2 linked regions of the Macaca fascicularis genome follow. The protein of the gene in region 1 interacts with the protein of each later gene in a biochemical or structural test. Links are inferred from orthologs where the notes say so. Each region holds a gene or a part of one and is shown on either strand. Other genes may lie near its edges.

Region 1 (4,562 bases):
CTCTGTCTGTAAAAGCTACATAAAATGTAATTTATCTGCTTGTTATGACTAAATAACATAGTACATTAGTCCTTTGCGAAAGTACTAACAAATTACCATATAAAAGTGTAGAATCATGTCAAATGTTATAAGAAATGCAACTGTCCAAAAATAATTATCTCACATTGGTCTGGTAATGAGACCTAAAATATCGCATTTTATTTACCTATTTGACTCAAAGCACCAGGTCTCAAAGAGGTCACTGTTATACTATAAATATGTCATATGAAATAATATATTAAATAATTGTTGTAATAGCCTATTGAAGTACTAGTTGTAATAAGACACAATGGAAAACTTACACTATTAACAGTAATAAAAAGAAACAACAAAAAGCAATAAAAAACAAACCACCGATTCATGCAATGACATGAATCACCTCACAAATACTATGCTGAGTAAAAGAAGTCAGACAGATATAAAAAAGTTTATACTACGTGATTAGATTTTTATGACATTCTAGAATATGCACATGAAGGGTGCAAGGTAACTGTCTGGAGTGATGAAAATGTCCTGTGTCTTCAAAATAGTGTGGGTTACACCAATGCATGGTTTTTTCAAAACTGATTTAAAGGGACACAACATCTGAGCATTTCACTAGGTGTAAATTACACTGAAATTTAAAAGAATCGTCTAATGACATTGTGGTTATTTTTAAACAGTTCTTAAATTTTGTGGATGCATACTGAATGTTTACAGTTGAAAAGATGTATATAAAGCTTGAATTTTGTGAAAAAAAATAGGGAGGATTGGTAGTGATAAAGTGAGTGGACTTATGAATGAGACATGATATGCCATGCATAGAAAAAATGTAAAAGTTGGGTGATATTCACATGGGAGTACTTTATTCTTTCTACTTTTGCGTATGTTTGAATATTTCCCATAACAAAAAGTTGAATATAGGGCGATCACCTGAGTTCATCTCCTCATTTACAAAAAATAAAACTGGAAACAGAAGGAGAACATAACTTGTTCAAGGTCTCCAAGCCAGACAACAAACTAGCTCCCAAGTCCAACCTTCTTGCTCTGGTCCTAAGCAAACACAAACTATTAATATGAGCTACTGCGTTATGGAAAGTCTGTTTTTCCAAAGGGCAGACCAATAGTTCAAGGAAGAGTTTAAGTAATAAAAATTTGTAATCTTACTTTCATGTTTTTCTATTTTCCACTGAACACATAGGCATTATCTTCTATATGTCTTTCATGTATAATCATTTGTTTACTATTCCTTGTGGTTTTAAAGTTGTTTTGTATGTTTACATTTGATTTTACTCAAATTTCAGAATCCAAATGAGTGCAAGAATCAGACAAAGCATTAGCTACAAACATAAAAACAATTTTTAAAAAACACAGCAAAAACGAGCTGTTGTCCCCGCCCCCCCCGCCGGCCCCCACCCCCCCCGCCGGCCCCCACCAGTGCTTAACTAATCTTCGGAATCCAGGCACAGAAAGCAAAGGCTTTCTGCTAGTGGGAGGAGCTTGCTTCTCCATTCTGGTGTGATCCAGGAATAGCTGTCTTCCAGTTCTGAAAGAGGTGAAAATGTGTTAAGCGATGCAAAAATTGTCTGGAGGTTCGCGTGTGTACGTCTGTGTGTCTGTGCATGTGGTGGGTCGGGGGAGAGAAAAGGGGATGTCAATTCTGAGGGCAACGAGAATTAGAAGTCAGAAAGGTGAGTGGCGTGTAGCATCTCCCTTTCAGAAGGGGCTGAAAAAGAAATTGGATATGATGGTCTGGTAGGGTAAATCACGCTGGATTTGTCTACCAGACCATGCACTTAGGTCTGCAAAGTAAGTCCCATTTCTAGAGCGAAAAGCCTTAGGACCGCTTGTTTTAGACGGCTGGGGAATATTTATTCCTCGTTCCGCTGATGGGAAAATCAGCGTCTGGCAGGCGCTGATTGGTGGAAAGGAAAATGGTGATAGTGGGGTGGGAAGAGGATTTGCTGAGCCTCCTCCTGCCTCCTCAACCTGTAACTCTTCCTTAGTAGTCTCCGATTCACCCGCGGGACCCTTTCGAGCTCGACCTGGATTAAGAGCAAACGAAAATCTTGAGGATATTTGAACTAAAGCGACCCTTAACGTAGCCTGTGACCGTGATTAAATTCAGCGATGCGAGGGCAAAGTGCTCTCGGCGGTGCGGTGTGAGCCACCTCCCTGCGCTGCCTGTCTCCCCAAAGGATAGGCTCTGCTCTGGGTGGTCGACCCTCAGGCCCTCAGCTCTCCCAGGTCGACTCTGACGAGGGGTAGGGGGTGGTCCCAGGGAGGACCCGGAGGAAAGGCGGGGACAGGAAGGGAGGGGAATGGGAAAGAGGGAGAGTCGTCAGCCCAAGCCCAACCGCTCCCAATCGCCACAAGAGTGCCCGTGACCCTGAACTTGAGGTGAGGCGCAAAAGCGCCCCCACTTTCCCGCCTTGCGCGGCCAGGCAGGCGGCTGGAATTGGTGGTTCACCCTGCGCCCCCTGCCCCATCCCCATCCGAGATAGGAAACGAAGAGCACGCTGCAGGGAAAGCAGCGAGCGCTGGGAGGGGAGCGTGGAGAGGCGCTGACAAATCAGCGGTGGGGGCGGAGAGCCGAGGAGAAGGAGAAGGAGGAGGACGAGGAGGAGGAGGACGGCGACGACCAGAAGGGGCCCGAGAGAGGGGGCGAGCGACCGAGCGCCGCGACGCGGGAGTGAGGTGCGTGCGGGCTGCAGCGCAGACCCCGGCCCGGCCCCTCCGAGAGCGTCCTGAGCGCTCCCTCACGCCTTCCCTTCAAACCTTCTGCCTTTTTCTCCATCCTCGTGAGCGGAGAACTGGGAGTGGCCATTCGACGACAGGTTAGCGGGTTTGCCTCCCACGCCCCCAGCCTCCCGTCGTCGGCTCACAGCGGCCTCCTCTGGGGACCGTCCCCCTCCCGGTGCCGCCTCCGCCCTTCCTGTGCGCTCCTTTTCCTCCTTCTTCCCTATTAAATATTATTTGGGAATTGTTTAATTTTTTTTTTTTTTAAGAGAGGTAGGGAGGAATCGGAGTTGTGGAGAAGCAGAGGGACACAGGTAAGTACCTGTGGATCTAAACGGGCGTCTTTGGAAATCCTGGAGAAAGCCGGGTGGGAGAGGAATGGTCGTGGGCACCAGGAGGGGGTGGTGCTGCGGTGAGGACCTGCTGTGCCAGGTCTCTGGGAGGTGAGTACTTGTCCCTTTGGGGAGCCTAAGGAAAGAGACTTGACCTGGCTTTCGTCCTGTCAAGGGCTTCTCCCCAAGGGCTGAGAGATTAGGATGCGTCTCTGGGATCCGCTTTTCCCCGGGAAACGCGAGGATGCTCCCTGGAGCGTAAGCATCCAACTTTTATTTCTCTCTTACCTGAAATCCGTCTGCCCGCTCTCTTGGTTTTTCTCTGTAAAGTAAGCAAGCTGCCTTTGGCAAATAATGAAATGGAAGTGCAGGGAGGCCAAGTCAACAGGTGGTAAAGGGTTAACAAGTGCTGGCGCGGGGTCCGCTAGGGTGGATGCTGAGAACGCCCCCTCGGGTGGCTGGCGCAGGGTTAGAGACGGCCCGCGAGTGTGAGCGCCGCCTGCTCAGGGTAGATATCTGAGGGCGGGGGTGGATGCTCGGATGTATTAGAACCAGCACCCTTGGGCTCGCTGTTTGCCTGAGGTTGAACCACACCCAGAGTGAGTAGTTAGTTCTCTTGCCTACGCCTCTCCACCATCAACCTGTTAGCCTTCTTCTGGGATTCATGTTAAGGATGCCCCAGACCCTAAGCCTCCAGCTTCCATGCTTCTAACTCACACTGTTACCCTTTAGACCCCGGGAAGTTAAAACAGGAGTGACTCTTTTCATGCAACTCCACTTCTGAAATGCAGTATTAACAACTCAGAGGATTCATCCTAATCCATGGTTAGGTGGCTAGACTTTTACTAGCCAAGATGGATGGGAGATGCTAAATTTTTAATGCCAGAGCTAAAAATGTCTGCTTTGTCCAATGGTTAAATGAGTGTACACTTAAAAGAGTCTCACACTTTGGAGGGTTTCTCATGATTTTTCAGTGTTTTTTGTTTATTTTCCCCCAAAAGTTCTCATTCAAAGTGTATTTTATGTTCTCCAGTGTGGTGTAAAGGAATTCATTAGCCATGGATGTATTCATGAAAGGACTTTCAAAGGCCAAGGAGGGAGTTGTGGCTGCTGCTGAGAAAACCAAACAGGGTGTGGCAGAAGCAGCAGGAAAGACAAAAGAGGGTGTTCTCTATGTAGGTAGGTAAACCCCAAATGTCACTTTGGTGTTGGTTCATGACTGATGGGTTAGGATAATCAATACTCTAAATGCTGGTAGTTCTCTCTCTTGATTCATTTTTGCATCATTGCTTGTCAAAAGGGTGGACTGAGTCAGAGGTATATGTAGGTAGGTGAATGTGAATGTGTGTATTTGAGCTAATAGTAAAAAATGCGGCTGTTTCCTTTTCGATATTTTTAATTTTGCCCTAATATTTAGGACTTTTGAAAAATGAATGCTTCTGTGCCTACATAATTACATTTCAGAGAACAGTT
Region 2 (4,758 bases), on another chromosome or scaffold:
TGCTTTAGAGTCACCAAAGGCGAACGATGTCTAATAGTGGTGATTTGGGAGTTGGGCACCCTGGGTGTTGGTTGTGCCTTAAAACTTCATGCTAAACTTTAGGGGAAGTCTCTTCCCCTCTCTCTTCAGTTATCTTCCGAGATGAACCCTATTACTAACCTTAATTACTTGATCACCTTTCAAAGTTGCAGTTAAAATTCTTCACATTTTTCTCTCATTTCTATTTAATTATTTTTTTGAGAGAGGGTCTCTCTGTTGCCCAGGCTGGAGTGCAGTAGCGTGATCTAGTCTCACCGCAACCTCCGCTTCCGAGTAGCTGGGGTTACAAGTGTACGTCATCACACCCAGCTAATTTTTGTATTTTTAGTAGATACGGGGTTTCGCCATGTTGGCCAGGCTGGTCTCGAACAACTGACCTCAAGTCATCTGCCCGCCCCGGCCTCCCAAAGTGGTGGGATTACAGGCGTGAGCCACTGCGCCCAGCCCTCATTTCTATTTTAATTAAATTTTATTTAAGATAGGCTTAGCTTAAATGTTTACGACTGAGGTCTGACTTAAGATGATAGCATAAACCATGGAGCTTTCTTTTGTGAACATTACTATTACTCAACCCAATTTTCCCAGGTCAAATTTTGTAATACAAAACGTGGTCAAGATTTGATTCTCTGATCGATTTTTAGTAAAAAAGAAAAAAATTTCCGTGTAGCTTTAAATGTTGTCAATTAAATTTTGTAATAGTTACCTCTACTCTGTTCAGGTTAATACTGCGGTTTTCAACATGACCAACATACGATTCTTTGTTGTTGTTTTGGTGGGGTTGGGGGGCATAACAGTTTTTTCACTCTTGTTAAATTAATTTTCTGTTGATTCCATCTATCCCTAATCTTCACTATGAACAAGATACTGGGTTTTCTTCTGAAGATCAAAAGTGGTAGTGAGGCAATAATGCAAAGACGTAGGACGGCAGGGGGATTCCGGCTTCTTTCTTTTTTCCCCTCCTGTGGAAAGAGGGTCTATAACACTCCGTAGTAGAGAAGAAAATTCTAATTATGAAGGGTAATTAGCTAGGTTTTGCTATAACCGAGAGCCCTGAACGATTCCTCAACGCGGGCTGCTTTTCTCTTCCTCTCCACCAGAGGCGATAGCCTCTTTCCAAACAGAAACTGGGTTGGAATAGGCCGGTCCTGGGGAGCGGCCAGAAGAAAGATCAAAGGTTAAAAACCGCCTCAAAGAGCAAAGGTCAATACCCAACTCCTAAGGAGGCCTGACACGAAACATGAAGGTGACTCCTCCCAACATCGAGGCCTGGGGCCACTCAGCCTTCCAGAGACCCTGCGGGTCCGAGGCGAGTAACAGGTAACACCGGCTGAGCCGCCGCCGACCGGAAGTGGAAGAAAGCCCGGGGCGGGGTGAGGCAGGCCGCGGCACGCCTGCGCAGTCAGCAGGAGTTGCAGCGCTCATGCGCTACTGGGCGGTGACAGGGTGACGCTCGGAGCGTGGGCCGCGACTCTCACGGATCCGGTTCCGCCCTCTAGCTGCCGATCCTTCGGAGCGAGCGCCCCAGATCCCTTTCCCAGAGTGCTCTGCGCCGTGAAGAAGCGGCTCCCGGGGACTGGGGGCATTTTGTGTTGGCTGGAGCTGGAGTAACAAGATGGCGGCGTCGGCGGAGTGACAGGGGTCCCTCAGGGCCGGAGCCGGCGGCAGTGGTGGTAGCTGTATCGCCGCCCTAGCTCACCGCGCCCCTTTTCCAGCCCGCGACGTCGCCGCGCAAGCGAGGCAGCGGCGGCCGCCGAGAAACAAGTGGCCCAGCCTGGTAACCGCGAGAAGCCCTTCACAAACTGCGGCCTGGCAAAAAGAAACCTGACTGAGCGGCGGTGATCAGGTTCCCCTCGGCTGATTCTGGGCCCCGAACGCCGGTAAAGGCCTCCGTGTTCTGTTTCCTGCCGCCTTCCTCCGTAGCCTTGCCCAGTGTAGGAGCCCCAGAGGCCTCCGTCGTCTTCCCAGAGGTGTCGGGGCTTGGCCCCAGACTCCATCTTCGTCTCTCAGGATGGCGAGTAGCAGCGGCTCTAAGGCCGAATTCATTGTCGGAGGGAAATATAAACTGGTACGGAAGATCGGGTCTGGCTCCTTCGGGGACATCTATCTGGCGATCAACATCACCAACGGCGAGGTAATCACCTGGGGTGGGGTTCACGATAACGCTGCGCTTTTCCTCATTCCCCCCACCACCACCGCGCACCCCCAAAGTGCTCGGGCCTCTCCTCACCGCACGCACTCGCCAGGGAGTCCAGGGAGCTAGTTTTCCTGGCTTGCGATCCTCGCCCGCTCTCTCCCTAAAAGGGTCAAGAACCCGATAGAAAAGGGTGGGGGAACTAGTTTCCCAGCTTGTTAAACACTTCCCATAAATGTCCCTTGGTCGAGCTGTTTTTTTTTTAACCGACTTTTAAGGTGGAAACGGCAAAATCCTCTTTCTGTGATTCCCATGCTTTGCTTTTCTTTTCTTTTATTTAATTTTTAATCCTGCTGGGCCTCTTGTTCCAATTAGAACAGTTTCCGATCGCCTAGTTCCTTAAAAACCTCTCACTACGTTCAGAGGTTGCCTCTTTTTTCTGGATGAATCATTTTCCTGCACTTTAGAGGACGTACGATTTCGTCACTACCCCCTGAAGAGGCCTTTGAGGCTGGTTGCCTCGTTTTATAATTACAGAGAGCTTTCTCTTTCCAGCTTTTCACTTCTTCCTTGTAGTCGCGACTTGGAGTTTTGCTAATGTCTCTCTCCTTTCCTAAATGACACTGAATCCGTAGGGATGTTGATGCCATCATCCCCTCTTTCCCCTGCAGGAAGTGGCAGTGAAGCTAGAATCTCAGAAGGCCAGGCATCCCCAGTTGCTGTACGAGAGCAAGCTCTATAAGATTCTTCAAGGTGGGGTTGGCATCCCCCACATACGGTAAGAACCCCGTGCATGTAGGCGATCCGCTGAGGGAAGCACGGAATGGGGAAGTGGGTAGAGGCAGGTAATGAGACCAGCTGAATCCGGGTCTTGTTTTGGTTACCTGGGTTCCTTGTAGCTGGTGCCTTCCTGTAAGTCATCGCAATCACTGAGTAAATTTCAATTTGCCAACTTATTTCATTGTATTACACTGCTCCATTTCGCTTCCGTCATTCTCTTCCCGAGGCTTTCGTTTGCAGTTATGCGTGCGGGTCATCTTTGATCCCTACGCGGAAGGGTTGGCTGCTGCCTTTTTTACGGCGGCACGTCTGATGTTCTTAGGTTTGTCCAGTGAAGTGGATTTGAAGGTGCTGAAGCGACCCGGCGGTGTCAGTTCGAGTTGCTATTGGAGCTGGCTTGGGAAATGGCTGCTCTTTTGTTGTGTTTTTGTTCCAACATGTCTTCCTCCTCCGCTTAGAAAATGGCGGAACGACGTGACTCAACCCCATATTCCTGCCCTTTTCTCAGCTTGGGTTCACAAATTATGCTTCCTTGATTCCTCCTTTAGCAGCCCCGAGTGGATTAAACCTTTGAAAAGCCAAGAATAAAGCTGCAGGAGGCGGTGTGGGGGTTCGAGGAAGGAGATGGCATAGTGACAATGTTTGTGATCTCTGCAGCAGATGTGACATGAAATTGTTGAATTATACTATGTAAAATCCTTTGTGGTTCTTTTAAAAGTGTTAATTACTCTTTCCTTTCGTGAATGGTCATATTTGGCACATTTCAGTCGGGACTAAATTTGTATAGGTAATGGCAAAGGCAGTTTGAGCAGCACCAACTATGTTAAAATTTACTCAAATCAATTGTATTAAAAGAAATCTTAATCACTTAGCCACACTTTGATAAGTAATTTTAACCTGTTGAGTTTGGCAGTAAATCTTAATATCAGAGAAATTGCGGCCTTTGTTGGTGTGGAATATTGGTGAGTGCAAATTGCAGTAACGCGGATAAAAGATGACGAGATAGAAAGACATTGTTCTGTCAAATGGTTAACTTTACTTTGGAGGGTTTTAGAGTAATGTTTTAACTTTTGGGATTAAAGAGCCTCTTCATGGAATGGAGACTAAAATATAGTTTAAAACCAAGCTATTTTTCAGCAACAATCTAAAATACCTTTTGCAAAAATATTCAGAATAGGTGAGAATGGTGTTTACTGTTTGCTGGAGACTCTCTTTTTTTTTTTTTGAGACTGAGTTTTCGCTCTTGTCGATCAGGCTGGAGTGCAGTGAATGGCACGATCTTGGCTCACTGCAACCTCTGCCTCCTGGGTTCAAGCGATTCTAGTGCCTCAGCCTCCTGAGTAGCTGGGATTACAGGCGCCCGCCACCACACCCAGCTAATTTTTGTATTTTAGTTTCACCATGTTGGCCAGGCTGTACTCGAACCCCTGACCTCAGGTGATCCACCTGCCTCGGCCTCCCCAAGTGCTGGGATTACAGGCATGAGCAACCGTGCCCAGGTTTTTTTCTTTTGAAACGAAGTCTTACTCTGTTGCCCAGGCTGGAGTGCAGTGGCGCAACCTTGGCTAACTGCAGCCTCTGCCTCCCAGGTTCAAGTGATCCTCCTGCTTCAGCCTCCCAAGTAGCTGGAATTACAGGCTTGCACTACTATGCCAGGTTAATTTTTGATTTTTAGTAGAGACAAGGTTTTGCCATGTTGGCCATGCTGGTCTCCAGCTCCAGACTTCAGTTGATCCACCTCCCTCGGCCTCCCAAAGTGCTGGGATTATAGGCGTGAGCCACCAGGCCCGGCCTGTAGCCCCTTTTTC

Evidence for each region. The genes of interacting proteins can lie anywhere in the genome.
Region 2: of the proteins of SNCA (region 1) and CSNK1A1, one has a biochemical effect on the other in vitro, tested with the Homo sapiens proteins (3 studies listed by BioGRID). The link is inferred for Macaca fascicularis from reciprocal best matches to the Homo sapiens genes SNCA and CSNK1A1.

Annotation. Positions count from the first base shown.
Region 1 is NC_088379.1:95,378,076-95,382,637, reverse strand, and holds the start of SNCA (alpha-synuclein), read left to right. Parts: upstream 1-1,520; 5' UTR 1,521-1,709; intron 1,710-2,009; exon of another isoform or gene 2,010-2,418; intron 2,419-2,651; exon of another isoform or gene 2,652-3,071; intron 3,072-3,264; exon of another isoform or gene 3,265-3,347; intron 3,348-3,541; exon of another isoform or gene 3,542-3,688; intron 3,689-4,122; 5' UTR 4,123-4,147; coding exon 4,148-4,268; intron 4,269-4,562. UniProt on the Homo sapiens protein: Neuronal protein that plays several roles in synaptic activity such as regulation of synaptic vesicle trafficking and subsequent neurotransmitter release.
Region 2 is NC_088380.1:156,430,934-156,435,691, reverse strand, and holds the start of CSNK1A1 (casein kinase I), read left to right. Parts: upstream 1-1,575; 5' UTR 1,576-2,047; coding exon 2,048-2,170; intron 2,171-2,841; coding exon 2,842-2,948; intron 2,949-4,758.